Linked DNA regions of Diceros bicornis minor. The protein of the gene in region 1 interacts with the protein of each later gene in a biochemical or structural test. Links are inferred from orthologs where the notes say so. Each region holds a gene or a part of one and is shown on either strand. Other genes may lie near its edges.

Region 1 (7,261 bases):
TAAGACAGGGTAGGAATGTCATGACATTGTTAGATTTCAAATTTGACTTCAACTATAGCAGACCTAAGAAAGATTATTCTCTCAGAGTTACACCTAATCCACATGAAAATTATAAATTATAAACCAAGAAATAGAAACATAATTCTAAAGGTATCAACATAAATTTCATAACAGATATATCTAGGAAAGGACTACAATTTCATTGGATTGAAAAGATGGGGCAATTTTAAATAAAACTGCTTTAATTTTTCAGTACAAAGTTATACGGCTCCTTATTGCTAGATAGATTCTGAGTATTGTTTACTTTAATCTGCTTCACATACAGATAGAAATCCCCTACATTTAAGCAACCTAACGGAGAAACTGACTTTCTCCTACGAAATTAACTTTCAATAAAGTCCACTGAGTACTTAATGAAGAAAATAAACAGACTACAATCAGATGTGACTTATAGCTCTAGTATCTACCCAATAACTGACTAGGAATAACCATGTGGACGTTCATACTTATCGACACTGATACCAGGAAAATTTTAATTTTGTAAAAATGTTGGTATGACAATGGAAGTGTGTCATACATGAAAATCAAGGAGTCAGAGTGGAAAATCAGTTTGACACTTACTGGACTGAGAAAGCCATGAATGTCAACAGAAACAAAAAAGAGAAGTACAATATATGTTATGCCCTTGTGGGAGATCAAGATTTGGCTACCCTGAAACATATCTCTTTACCTTGATTGTTTTCTCTGATGGACATTTGACCTCCCCCACTAACTGCCTAAAGAATTTGACATAGAAGATCTGTAATATAATGTAAAATAGATGTTACAATAGGAAAGGCACCAACAAGCCCATCTTATCAGAAGTTCTGTCTCTCTAGGCACATTCTCTGGATGGCCCTGAGAGGAGTTGCCAGACAAACATTTACATTTATAAGGGAAATCTCCATTTGTAAAGGTATCTCCCTTTCTGTATTGGGAAGAGGTGAGATGACTTCATTTCTAGAAACTCATCAATGTGGAAGGTGAGGCCTTAAATCTGCATAATAACCTTACTCTTGTTTACAGTGCTTTAGTGGTAATCTCCACTAACTGACTCCCCACCCCCAGCATCCTCCTTTGTCTTTAGCTGAAGATGGTATTTAAGACGAGAATTTCTGCTATTGTGTTGAGAAATGCAGTGTCCCTGCTTTCTCCCACGTATACATGTTATTAAACTTGGTATTATTTTCTCCTGCTAACCTATCTTGTTAATTATTTGGCCAGCCATAAGAACCTTAAGGGAAAGGGCAGAGGGGGCTTCTCCCTCTTCCCCCACACCCTCATGTTCTTTGCACAGTTTGAAAATTTTAACAGCTGGGTTGAGGGTTAGAAGACAACTGGGGCTTGGACTATTTGAGCAGGAGGGTGAATGACAAAAGCAAAGGAAACAGAGAACAGGAAGGCATCTGGCATTCCGGTTTTGGACTATCATATTCCTTATTCCTATCCTCTGAGAGAACGTCACCATTTTAGAAATGCTTTTAATTCCTGGTGGGGAAAGAGTGCTGTCTTTCTTTTATAGAATTGTACATCAAAACCCCTTTTCACACAGGGACCATAACTATTTTTGGTAACAGTTTCCAAGTTCCAAAGAAAAATATTTGTTGTATTTTAAAATAGTAGACTTAAGAGCACTGTTTCTTAACGTTGCACCAGAATGTTGATTTAACCATGTTGGATACCAATTTTACAACTAAACGTGGTCAGGCTAGAAAAAAGGCTGGCTTAGTCCTTTGGGAGTAACTGTAGCATAGTGAGAAAAGGGGAAGAGGGGATGGAGGTGGAGAGATGACTCAGGTGGCCATCCTATGTAATGGCCCTGGTTTCCCTGGGTTTATGCCTAGACTTGCCCAGCTAGGACACTTGATGCCCTGGTTCCCAGGAGCAGCTGGATAGGGGGCGCGTGCTTCATGATTACTGGCTTCTAGGGAGATCTGAAGCCTGCCTTGCCATGATTCTCCCTAGTCCACTTCTCCTACATTCTTCCCGTTGTTTGCCTAATCACAAGTCAATTCCTATTCCCTAACTCCAACCTCTTCCTCTGTCCTCAGAATAGATTCATCAGTATTTTGTGTTTTCTGCAGGTATGTTCTAGTTCTAGTATTTAGTAATGTTCTGGTATCTGGCAATGTTTTCTTAATATAATCCCTTTTGTGGCCTCTTGGAATACTGCTAAAGTATTCATAATAAAGTATGTAATTAAAATTCATTAATAGTAATATTATATGTTTACTTCTCAGATGAAGTAACACTGTAAGAAATATACTAATTGACTGAATTTTCTTTTTCTTCCACTTCAGTCACTTTGCCGCTCTATGCTTGAACAGAAGTAACTCATTTAAATCCCCCAAAATTCTCCTGTAAGGGATAAGAAAACATACAGTGATATATTGTTCTTTTCCAGTTACCCCTTTCTACCATCTCCACAGGCTCTCCCACCCAAACAGCCTAACTTTGCCAGACTAATGACTTTTAAAACCATTTTCGTAACTTTTCATAGGGACACCCATTAATGATTCAGAGCATCACTCAATTCACACTATAGTTAACATCAAGAGGTCCAAACTCTCTCCAGAATCTGGCCCTAAACCACTTACCCATTTTATTTCTTATCTTTCAGCCTTCTGAACCAAATGAATGAAAATCACCAAATGGCAATCACCAAATGAATGATAATAACCATTTCCTGCATCTGGCCCACTCCAAAAGTCCCTTTGCATGTTTCTCTCACCTGGAATGCCTCACTTCCCTTTTCCAAATTCTTCCCTTTCAAGGCCCGGATCAAGTTCCGCCACCTCTGAGACACCTCTGTAAAAACAAATTACTGGACTCGGTCAGAAGACATTTCCTCCAGCCAACTGTTTTACTATAATTAAAGTTTCTCTAGACTAAGTAAACTAGTATAATTACACGAAAGCAGAAAACTGCTGCTGCCTTAACTGAAGCATCATTTTGGTAAGAAAGTTTAGCACAGGAAGAGGCTTGGGCATCACAGGGGCGTAAGAGGACTTGTTCAACTATACTGGTGCCTCCCTTACGAATAGCTGCATGCTGAACCACTTAGGGGTGGGAGTGGGTCCTCCTCAGTTTTATTGCAGCAGAAAAAGGACTGCCACACTTTTGTCTTCTCTCAACTTGGGAGGGATAAAGAAAGGGCTAAGTTTTACTCCTGGGATCCCAGTTTAACTTCTGTAACTCTCCTTTTAGCGAGAACAAACTACTTAACCTTTTTAAGCCCTGATGGGAACTGGAATTCCTACCTCCCGGGGTTGTTGAAAGGATAAAATAAGAAAGTGTATTGCGCACACGTAACATCACAGAATAAGCGCTCAACAAATGGTAGCCACGTATATAACGCTGTATGTTCATGTACAAAATACGGCCCCTGATTTATATCCGAATAGGCAGAAGTGTTCTTAACATGGGGTCCCTGACTTATCAGAATGTCATGAAGCTCTAGAAATCTGATGCAGAATTTCGTGCTCAATCGTGTTGGTGTAGTCTTCTGCGAAAACGACTGAGAGTTTGCATCAGGGTCTGAAAGGCGTTCGTGACCCAAAATAGGCGGGAACCAGTAGGCAGTTAAGGCTTTAAGGACGAATTGGGGGGGGGTGACCTAAGGAAAGGCCTCAGGTCACCCGAGGGGAAGAGATTACCAGTGCGGGTCGGCCTGCTCCCCTTCCTCCCAGACGTCCAACCTTGACTCCCTTCTCTCCGCCCCTCGGGGCTGCCGCGGCTTTGAGGTCTCCCTCCGTTCACGTCCAGAACCCCGCGCCGTGGCGCGATCGCGACTTCAAGCCTGGCGCGGGGGCGGAGCCAGAGCGCGCCGGGCCTATGAGGGCGCGGCTTCCACGCGGCAGGGGGCGGTGTTCTCGGGGCGGGGGCGGAGCCAGAGCGCGCCGGGCCTATGAGGGCGCGGCTTCCACGCGGCAGGGGGCGGTGTTCTCCGGCAGGCGGGCGGGGCAGCGGGGAGCGCGCCGGGACTCTGAGGGAGCGGCGTTCTCGGGCACGCAGGGCGGGGCCGGAGCGCGAGGTCGAAGCGGGCCGGGACGGGAAGGCGGGCCAGAGCGCCCGGGGCCGCTGAGGGAGGGGCGTTCGCGGCGGCGGGGGCGGGGCGGGCCGGGGCGGGAGGGACGTGTCGGCGCGGAGGGGAGCGCGGGGCCCGGGGGTGGGGCCAGCGGGGGGCGGGCCGTGCTCGGAGCTCAGCTCGGCGGGCTGGGGGCGGCGGGCCGCAGAAGCCGAGCTGGCGGGGCGCAGAGCGGAGTGGACGGTTGAGCGCTGCGTGGAGGCTGTGCGGTGAGTGCCGCCCTCGAGTCTTCCCGACGCCGCGCCGTCGGCCCTGCCCGCTGCCTGCATCGCCTCCAGCCCGGCGCGCGCCCCGGGGTCCCTTGGGGCCTGCAGCTGCTCCGGGGAGACGGAGGAGACGGGCACGCTCCGGGCGGCGGGTCCTTTGTTTGGCCACGACGACGGGCGCGGGGAGGAGCGCTGGAGCCCGCGGAGCGAGAAACCTGGCCCGGGGTGTGGAGGCCCGGCCGCGGGTCGGGGGGCCGGGCTGGGGGTGTGGAGGCCGACAGCGGAGACCAGGCTGGAGATGCCGAGCCTGGGGGACGGGACACCGGACCGAAGATCGAGAGGCCAGGCTGGGGGCCTCGAGGCCGGGGGGCGCGTGGGGGGCGGGAGCCCGGGCCCGGGATGTGGAGGCCGCGGAGGGGAGACCCGACTGGAGATGCCCAGCCCGCGGGACGGGAGGCGCACCGAAAACCGAGAGGCCAGGCCGGGGCGCCGAGGCCGGGTAGTGGGAGGTCGGGCCCGGGCCCGGGAGCGGGGCGCGGGGGAGGGGGGCGCCGAGGCCGGGTAGTGGGAGGTCGGGCCCGGGCCCGGGAGCGGGGCGCGGGGGAGGGGGGCGCCGAGGCCGGGTAGTGGGAGGTCGGGCCCGGGAGCGGCAGGCAGCGGGATGCCAGAGAAGTGAGGGCGGCCGGGACGGGAGTAGCGGATGGTCGGCGCGGAGGAACGATGCCCCGAGGGCAGGAGGCGGGCCCGGTGCCGTCCCAGTGGCGCTGGCCCTCGGGGCTGAACCTCCCGTTGTTGGACGAGGGTGTGCTCTCTGCGGCCTTCTCTGTCTCGGGCCTAGATTTTCCCGGGTTGACTATGTAACTCAGTTTTCGGGAGAAGCAATTTCAGGCGTTAAACTCTAATTCCTTTTGAGACCTGAAGGTCTCCGTGAGTCCGTCCAGCTCGGCCATGTGATTGTGTGTCCATGGCCAAATCCACCTAGGAGCTGCTTTGAAATTCACTCAGGCCATGTTGAATGCGAGTGCCTTTCTCACACTTGTCACCCTTGTTCTCTCTCAAGCCTTATTTCCCAAGCAGCTGCCTCTCTCCCATTCTCAGTAAGTGGAACCCAAACCAAAAAACCAAGAACCAACCTTCTCAGCTACCTGTCCCCGGTCCTTCCCCAGTTAGCCACCAAAGCCTCCTCGACCTCCTAAATGTCCGCTAGATCTGTCCACTGCGCTCCATCTCTGATTTAAGTCACCCTAGGCTCTTACCTGGCTACAGCAGCCTCCTCACTGGCCTCCATACTTCCAGACCCTCTGCCCCTCTCCACTCCATTCTTTACAGCACAGGCTGAGGGATCTTTACAAAATAAAAATCTAGAAAACTGTTTCTTTGCCCATAGGAAAAACCCAGTCCCTTAGCATGGTAACATAGCCAAGCACAGGTTGGCTCCTTGGTCTCCTCACTTGCCTTATATTTCATTATAGCCTGTTTCACTTTCTACACAGCCAGGCTGATCTTAATACCTGTTCTCTGCCTGGAACATTCCTGCATTCCCACTCTGGTTGCATCACATCTGCTTGAGGAACTCCTACTTAGTTTCTGTTCTCATTCAACACTTCAAGGTTAAGTCTTCCTATTATGTGTTCCTTTCGCATCGGGATTTTCATAGAGGAAAACGTCATATCCTTTGCAGTTGCTTGTTTCCTATCTTTCCTACTAGCTTGTAAGCAAATTCCGTGAGGAACTGTGTTTGTCTTGTTCTTTACTGCCCTTCCCCATGTCCAGGGCCTGCACAAGTGAACGCCTATACTACAGTCTTATGCTTTTTAATAATTATGCCCTATCTAGAAAAAATAAACGTGTTTTAGGATTACTTAGCAAAATATAATTAAAAGATTGGATTAGGAAGGAATGGTAGAGGTGAAATATGGAGTGGTTGTAACGATGTGAGTATACAAGATAGTAATAGGAGCTGCTTAGCAAGGTGGTTTAGACCAACCTGTATCAAAACGTGCTCGGCCACTTTGAATGTGTTGTAGTTACATAATCTCTAAGAATGAAATATAAAGCTTAAATCATCCCTATCGCAACCTGATATTTGAGCTTTGGTTTTGCTTTGCTCTTTTGCAAAAGAAGGCTTTTGAAAGTTAGAATGTGCTTTAATGAACGGACAGTTTTTTGCAGTGTGGCAGTAAAACCTGTTGACGGTAAAAAAGAAATGAAACATTGTGCCTAATTAAATCGGATTTCTTTTTGCTATCCTGAAAAAGCCTTGCCTCCTGCGGTTTTAAGAGACTCACGTCTTACTGATATGGGCGATTGCAATGCTTCTTTACTGTTTTGCTTTCAAACCTGGTATAACACAATCTACTGCCGCATCCCCCTTGTAATGCTAGAAAGCAGTCTTTATTTTTATGAATGGTATTAAATTGATTCTGGTGCCTAGTATTAGATACTTCTTCAAGCTCTGCCTCAAAGATGGGAAGCACTGGTGTTTGGGCCTAAAAAAAGATGTGGGAATTCTTAGACTGTTAGATAACTGTTTTGTAGATATTTAACAAATACAAATGTAATGGAGGGGAATAGGTACTCTTGTCAGATGACCTAAGGCCAGGTCCCAAGGACGACACTTACCAGCTCATCCGTAAATAGGCATAAGTGATATACATACTTCACAGGGTTGTGAGGATAAAATGAGATAGTGTCTGTGACAGTGCTTTCTAAATCTCTGTGTAATATTGTTATTTCTCTGCTTATTTGTTCTTGCCTTCAGATTGCTTATAGGGCTTCTGAATTAGGGCAGAGTAAGATAAAGTTATCTGATGTGTAGTGCACACTGTCTGGCATCTGCCTTGCTGAGCTACTTTTGAATGCCGGTGAGCGTGGTTGTGAGTCCCACACAGGGACAGGGTCTTTCTGTCTTCCATTACTTCATACACTC
Region 2 (7,965 bases), on another chromosome or scaffold:
CTCCCTTCCTACTCTACATCCCTCACATTTTCCGCTTCAGGTCTCCTACAACTTCTGAATCTTCCCAAAATACACATGTCCAGCCCAACTCCTGGTTCCCAGGCCAAAGGAGACCCAGACTAACCTGCTCCTCACCTTCAGCATAGTCTGCCATTACCCGTCAATCACAATGTCAAACTCCCCTGCACCTGTCTCCTTCCACCTCCAATACCAGCTTTCATGCATGCCCCACTTATCACAGCCAACTGTCCTACCAGTAAGTCCCACCATGATGCTATCTCAGTCCCAGACTGTCCTTTTCTAAGCCCCCTCAGAGGTCAGAGAGTGGCCCATATGCCTCTCCCTTCCCTGCCCTTCTTTGTCCAAGCAAAACTATTTCCAAACTCACCACAAAGTCAGGGTCTGTGTCCCAGTCATCACCCTGGGTCTCCACGGAAACAGAAACATCATGCCCTACTACAGACTTCCACATCTGAGGGTGACAGAAGATGGGAATAATTAAGGGGAAAAATTGGGAGGAAGGAAAACAAGAATTCTGAAGTCAATGATATAGCAGCTCAACGTTTCTTGCCATTTTTTCTTGGAAGAATATAGAAGCTGAAGCAAAGCAGATGGAAGTTTTAGGAAACCACTTCTGCTCAGTTAGAGGAGAGAGGATGGGGATTTATTCAAGAAAAACTAACATGGCCTGGCCACACCTGAGTCTGGAAAGAAGTAATCCTGGGTGTAGGTAACACTAAATAACCTCGGTGTCAAAACTGTTGGATCATTCGCTTGTGTCCAGTGGCTAGTCAGGCAGTGGCTTGAAGTGGTAATCAAGGAGGGGAGCTAGAACATCCCTAGAATCATAGTGCCATTTCACTCTACATATGACTCCTTTTATAGTTGTCGAAATCTAGATTGGTCCAGCTCCTGATAAAACGAATATTTACACTCCTCTCTGCAAGCTGCATGAGGCCAGTAGGGGCAGTCAGCTGAAATTCCTACACTGCACAATGCACAGGGAAGCATTGTTTGCTGAGAATAAGTCATTTATTCTTCAATTTTTAAGAAGAGTTCAATTATATTTCTAAAGAAGATAACTGGTTCAAAAAATAGCATGTAACAAATCTCTTATTTTGAACATTAAAAGCTATTATATCTTTATTAACTAAATAAATGATAAAGAAATATTTAGAGAACCTTAGTTTGAGGGAGTACCAAATTATTACTCTACTGGGGCATCCCCAGTGTTTCTGTTGGCCCTGCCAATCATGTATAAGGAGGAGCCACGCAGTGGCTCTGCGTCTGTGGTATCCTGGATCTTGGTGTGAAGAGGAAACAACAGCCAACGCTCACCCGCTCTGGTGGCCACTGAGCCTTCTTGACCCTGGTACCACTTGCTAGCTGGCAACTCCCCTGCTCGTCGTTCCCTGCTTAGATTCCTCACCTCACTGGTGTCTTTCCCCACGATCTTCATTGTCTCTTTAAGGAGTCCCTCTTACACCCACTCCTAGGACTCTCCAGTTTATCCACCCAGGCCCTCAGACTCTTGGATTTTTCTTTTCACTTGAAAATTCCATCGTTCTCTATGCTCTTCGAAAAACCCCTTGGAAACTAGCCCAAGGGAAATTTGGGGGTAGATTGGTTAAAGAGATGCAAAGAGCACACTGGAGAAGTGTTGACTGTGTCAGCTGCACTGTGGGATGAATCACTGCCGAGAGCAGCTCTGCCTTCCCCAGCGGGCAACAATTACAAATGAGGCGTCAGGTAGACAAAACCTATGTTCTTGGCTCCTGGGCTACTCTGCAACCAAAGGACTTCACATGGAAAGCTGGAAAGGAGAAGTTTCTGAAATATTCGTAAGCAATACGGAAGCAATGTGGACTGACGGTCCTGTCGTCTTTCCTGCTGTTCCTCTGAGGCCTCAGCCTGACTTTCTCATAAACCTCCCATCGTCATGTATTTTCAAAACAAAAGGAAGAGTTTCTGACACAGAGGCAATTTAGTATCTATGAGGTACTGGCCAGAAATAGGGAGGCTGAGAGGTGCAATCTAGAGGTGGTGATGGGCAAGTAACCTGGTGAGGCATGGTGCCCAGGATTGCAGGCTCAATCAAGGGTCTCATCACAAGGCTGCCTTGGCATCAGTAAAGTATATGAGCTTGGAGTCAGAAGATCATTCCAGCTCTGTTACTAAGCCCCTGTGGGAGCATGGATAAGGGAATCAACAGTATGTACTTATTTGCCAGGTACTGGGCGAGGCAATTTACAAATATTAAATAATTTGGTAAATCATTGAACATCTCTGATGCTCAGCTTTCCCTAATGGAAAGTAAGTGAAGAGGTTAACCTAGCTGATCCATCAAGTTCCCTCTGTTTCTGACATTCTGGGATTCTGCGATCCTATAATCACAGAAACTAGCCCTAGTTGAAGCATCACGCCTTCATTTGGCCTGCATCAGCGCTTGGTTCTCAGAACTGGCGTCCATTAGCACCTACTTCCTGATCTGTTACAGTGTCTCCTATGTGGGTTTTGTCTCTCTGCTAGACCATATGCTCTCCTAGGGCAGAGACTTTGTCTTCATCTCCTGCAGTCCTCTTCTCAACTCAATGCCTAGGAGCCACAGGCCTTAGAGAGGGTTGTAGATTGTCAGCAGAAACCAGGGGTCCTGGATGGCTGCTGAATCATGTTCCCTGGGCTCCAGCCCCCCACTTCTGTTTCCATCCCCAGATGTTCATTATCCATAACGACTTACACCCAGGCCTTCTGGCCATAAAAGATTAAAAGCCTGCTAGCGGTGACTTCATCTCTCAGCAAGGACTAAGAGCTAGGTAGGATCCTCTTACTTCAACATTTCTCCTGTGCTCCCCAACTTTCCCATTGTTCCCAGTACCCACCTCCAATAGTGTGAGTGTTTGCTCCAAACTCCCAGCTCCTCACGTCGACACTCGGCTCCCTCTCTGGCTGCTGCTACTTCAGAGCAAGAAACTGAGCTGCTGCTTCGGTTCCGTATTCAGGTTTCTGTCATTTCCTGCCACCCTGTCCTCATAGCTACTTCCTGAAGTTTTGAGTCAGTTCCTTCTGCTTAGGCACTTAAATAAGAAAGGATTAAATGCTTCTGTGCCTCCTCTTTTGCAAGGCTTTGAGGGTCACGAGGAAGTCATAGAAAATGCTGCTCTTACTCTGAGCTTATAATCTGATCAGGGAAGCAAAACATTCAACCAGGAAACACATAAAAGAATGCTGTAGGACAACATTTGTGTCCTAAATAGGTGAGCAGTTGCATCTATTATAGTAAAAGAATTTAGAGAATTTGGTATGGGCTGAAGTAATCAAAAAAGGCTTAATGGGAAAAATGATTTTTATGTGGATTTTGAAGGGTAAGATTTAAAAAGAAACTCATTTCTACGTTACCCACAGCACTTAAAATTGAGGTTTGCATATAGTAGACGTTCAAATAAACGTTGAGCAATTGAACGATGGAAGGGAATAACTCACAAGGGGAAAGGCAAGACGTGGAGGGAGAAAGGTGCAGAGATAGTTCAGGAGACAGCGAGGAGTCTGAGCTAACTGGTAGAAAGATTTTGTTCCAGACAGAAGGAAGAAGTCTGAAAGAACGAGGTAGTACCAGGGGATGGAAGGTCTTTGTGATATTCTGTATTTCTGTTCATCAAGATTTGCTGCTCCTCCCTTCCCTCTTGAAGTCAGACATGCTCAGTGACTTTGTTTTGGCCAGTGAAATAAATGAAGTGAAACACATCACTTTCTGGTGGAGACATTAAGATCAACGCGAGCTTTGCCATGCTCTTTCGCCCATTGCCCACCAAGGCAACCTGCAATTCTCCAGAGTGGCTCCTCTGGCAGCCTGAGTAAGAGGGTCCCCAACATGATGTCCCCAGTGACTACAACACAAGTAATCCTTTTAGTTACTGAAAATTTGAGGGTGTTGGTTACTGTATCTGACCTGGCCTCTCCTAATCTAGATTGACGTGGAGTTCTAACTTGATTTGCTCAGTTGTGAGCTCCCCCATGGATTCAAGCAGAGACTGGATGAAATTGGTCCAAGATGCTGAGGGGATTTCTGCATTAGTAAGACTTCAGTCACGTCCAAATCTAAGGATTCTACGCCTGGGGGCAGTTGTATTTATTGATCTCTCCTACTTCATGACCTCTCTATTATGGCAGCACCAAAATTATTTTAAGGAAGAGTAAATTTGTAGAAGGTGAAAAAATCTTTTATATCATTTCAAATCCTAATTCAGTGTCAAAAATAGGAATGATCAGATCAGATATTGTGACACACCATCCAGGTATAATTTCTTTAGAGAAACCATAGAATTTAATCAGAGATGACAAGAAACCCCATCTGTTCTTAGCAAATGTCCCAAGTTCATTCCTGATGAGACACAGTGAGATGGAGCACATAGAAATAGCATGGGCTTTGAAGCCAGATAGACTTGGCCCAATTCACTTACTTACCTTGAGAAAGTGAGTTAGCTTTTCTCAAGCAGTGACCTAACATAAAAACATAATGCCCATCCTGCTATTCCCTATTAGATTCCCTTCCCCCACGCCACTCAGATGGATTCCTAGGGGCCTAATATTTTCAGTTAGAGTTCTCCCAGGCCCAGACACAAACCTGCATGAATCTCATGCCCTAAGGCCCAGCTTCTTTGGTTCAATATTAGGATGGAATTTCCTCATTCCACTTCATCACCCTGGGGTCTAGTGGCTAAAGCTAGGACACATGCAGCCATTACTGATATTGGCCAGTGAAAAGGAGGCCTGAATAGGCAGAGCTTTCTACCCGTATATACATTCCTGGCTACCCTATCCCTATCTACCTTCCTCCCATCAGCGCGCACACACATATATGTAGGCACCCGTGTATACATACATTCACATACACGCACACACCACAATTTTTCATTCTGAAAATAATTTTATTATTTTACAGTTGTTCGGGACAGTTCCTGGGTTGCTGTGACCAAGATTTGGTCACCACAGAAAAAAGGATTAGAGCAGATCAGTCAGTCCACCAGTTTTCTCTCTTCTTTGGGTGCTGAGAGCAGGCAGGGAACACATCATGTGCATAATGAGAAAATAACCAGTAGGTAAGTGTTGAGGGGGAGAAGAGGCAAGGAATAAGCAGAAATGGAATTCGATTCTGGCTGTCATTCTCAGGCCTAGATTTAAATATTTTGTCTTTATATTCTCCCTCCATTTTCTTCAGCTCTCTGTTACCACAGAGGGCAGATGACTTTGGGACTGAGAAACTGGAATAACTGTCACCAACAGTAAAGTAGCTTCATACTTCAAGAGACTAGGAGTGGTCGTTAGACCAGTCAGATCTTCCTGACTGGGAGTCAATGCCTCACCTAGGACTGGCTCCTAGTGTACTGTCTTAGGGCCCACAAGTGAGGCATATCCAGGTAACACAGGAATGAGAAGAATCTGAATCCCGCTGTGCTGTCCATAGCCAGTTCTTCCTACCTTTCAGTGAAATGAAAGGCATAAGCCACTTACTACCTTTGTTTACATGTGATCAAGGGCATAAGCAATGGGCTCCTATCCTTACAGTTCAGGATGAAATCTCACTCCAATTATGTCTGAATAGCCAGGGAAGGAGATGCTATCCTCCCCCAGGATCCAAGAGCTGAAACCTCTGGGGAGTTCTTCAGCTCCCATCCTATCTTGCAGGAGACCTAATCAGATATCCTAGGAGACAGTGTTCCCCAGAACTTTGTTTGTGGCAGGTCCACCTTCCCCCTGAAGCAGGAGAAAATATAAGGAAAACAAAGAAAAGACGTATCAATCAAAATGATACTGGACTTCAGATTATTAGGTTTATTGGAACCATCCTCCTGGCTGAAAGACATTCCTCAGCATCTTTCCCAGGACCACAAAAGATCAGGGCCCTGTAAAATCTGAACAAATATTGGGCTCAACAACCAAGTATGGGGGCTCCTCAGATGATGCAGAGTGTTCAGGCTCGTGCAGTAGAAGAGAGCAGACTCGCTGGGGCCTACAGCTCTAACCTGTGCTCACATCCACCTCTTTTTGCAGGCACTTTCTGTGGAGAGTTGGAGAGAGGACCTGTAAGTGGGAAGACTGTTCCAATGGAATTGATGGTTTTGATGTTAGAGGTGAGGGAATTCCATGTTCTGAGGGGAGTGATCCGAAACGTGAGAACTAAGTTTATAGACGGCCTGTGAAACACAGAATGAGTAGGACATGAACCATCAGAAAGTAGATGGCTGCTAGCAGCGGCACTCGGGTCCGGGAATGACAGAGAGAACGCAGGACGCGCTTCCATCCAGCACCACTCCGGGTCTGAAAGAAAAATGTGAAAATCAGAGAGTTTTACCCTATGGGGACATGTCCTCACTTCTCCAGCCACTATAGAAAAGGAGTATCCCAAGAGAAAGGCCCCTCATGGTCAACCACTTGGCAAATTCCACTAGGTTCCTGCAACCTTCCACACCCTTCCAGTCTAGTGCCTGGACTTCCACATTCCTTTTCCTTGACCCCCTGCCCTCAACACAGCCAGCCCTGTCTGATAGTACAGTCCCCTCTCTTTATCCTTCTTCCCTTCTTACCCTTCGACAACTGTTGCCTGTAAGATCTATTAACAGTGCCTGCTCTTGAGTGCCACAGGAGCCAATGATAGGAGACCGGGCAGAGTCCCATTCACCGAGCTCCAACCTGTGTAAAGACAAAAAGAGGCATGGCATTGGTTCACAGCACGAGAGGCTGATCGGGTGAAGTCTTCCCAGTCATCTTGCTATGTGATGTAGCACAAGGGACTTGCAGCACAGGCTGCTCCCACAGTCCCTGCCCCCATGCAAGGAGTACACAGGCAGATGGTAAAAGGTGATGATAACTACCATGAGTCGACTGCCTACTATGTATCAGATGCTGGATTGGGTGCTTTACATACATTTAATCCTCAGGTTTGAGGTTGGTGTTATTATCTTCAAAGTAAGGCTTAAAGAGGTAAAATTACTCGTCCATGGTGGCACAGTCAGTTAAGAGGCAGAGCCAGAATTCAAAACCCAGGTTTGTTTCTAAACTTCACGCCCTTTTTTTCCCACTACACCACACCTGACTCAGAGAAACTCATTAAAATTTTTTTCTTTTATTAAAGGCTAATAGGCAAAAGCATCCAAGAAAGATTTTTGTGGGGTTCTTAGAATTAAACTGAACTGGCAGCCTCTACTGCTTTCTCCTTCATTTTTTGCTGATTTGCTTATTTATTTAATACTGGAACTTCTCCATTTAATGAAGAAGCTGCCTTTATCCACTCAATGGTTTCTCACAAAAACAAGAACCATATCAAAGGAGATGTAGGAAACATATAGCATATTTGATCAAGCATTTGCGTACAGGGATGCACTTTTTAATTGTGGTGGGGAGGAGGGAACTCTACTCCTGATGTTTCCTCCACAGGAAGGGATATCCATTAGCCTAATACTCCTGGCCTCTCTCACTTTTCTCCAGGAGAGAAGGAACGCTTTAATCTGATTTGTGAGTCTGGAAAGAGAAACTGATCATGCACAGCCTAGCTCCATCCTAATTGCTTTCCTCTTGAGAGCCAGGCGGACTACACAGTACACCTTCTGTGTCTGTTCCTCCTTATGATAAACTCTTCAGGGCAGCCTTAATCTGGAACAGCATGGTCTGGTACTATGTAGGTCAGTCTGCCAACTTCTGTAGGCTAGGCTGAGGAAAGATGAGATGTTTGTAAGGACTGGTGAGCCACACAGTATTGGCTGCTTTTAAATTGCAAGTCCCGGGGACTGGCCCCGTGGCTTAGTGGTTAAGTGCGCACGCTCCGCGACTGGCGGCCTGGGTTTGGATCCCGGGTGTGCACGGATGCACCGCTTGTCTGGCCATGCTGAGGTGGCGTCCCACATACAACAACTAGAAGGATGTGCAACTATGACGTACAGCTATCTACTGGGGCTCTGGGGAGAAAAAGGG

What was found.
Region 2: of the proteins of CASP3 (region 1) and HCLS1, one has a biochemical effect on the other in vitro, tested with the Homo sapiens proteins (2 studies listed by BioGRID). The link is inferred for Diceros bicornis minor from reciprocal best matches to the Homo sapiens genes CASP3 and HCLS1.

The regions. Positions count from the first base shown.
Region 1 is NC_080768.1:16,324,821-16,332,081, reverse strand, and holds the start of CASP3 (caspase-3), read left to right. Parts: upstream 1-4,243; 5' UTR 4,244-4,335; intron 4,336-7,261. UniProt on the Homo sapiens protein: Thiol protease that acts as a major effector caspase involved in the execution phase of apoptosis. Following cleavage and activation by initiator caspases (CASP8, CASP9 and/or CASP10), mediates execution of apoptosis by catalyzing cleavage of many proteins.
Region 2 is NC_080754.1:22,653,214-22,661,178, forward strand, and holds the start of HCLS1 (hematopoietic lineage cell-specific protein), read right to left. Parts: upstream 3,017-7,965; 5' UTR 2,880-3,016; intron 473-2,879; coding exon 389-472; intron 1-388. Other genes in the region: GOLGB1 (golgin subfamily B member 1), read right to left, coding at 6,181-6,315, 6,582-6,687. UniProt on the Homo sapiens protein: Substrate of the antigen receptor-coupled tyrosine kinase. Plays a role in antigen receptor signaling for both clonal expansion and deletion in lymphoid cells. May also be involved in the regulation of gene expression.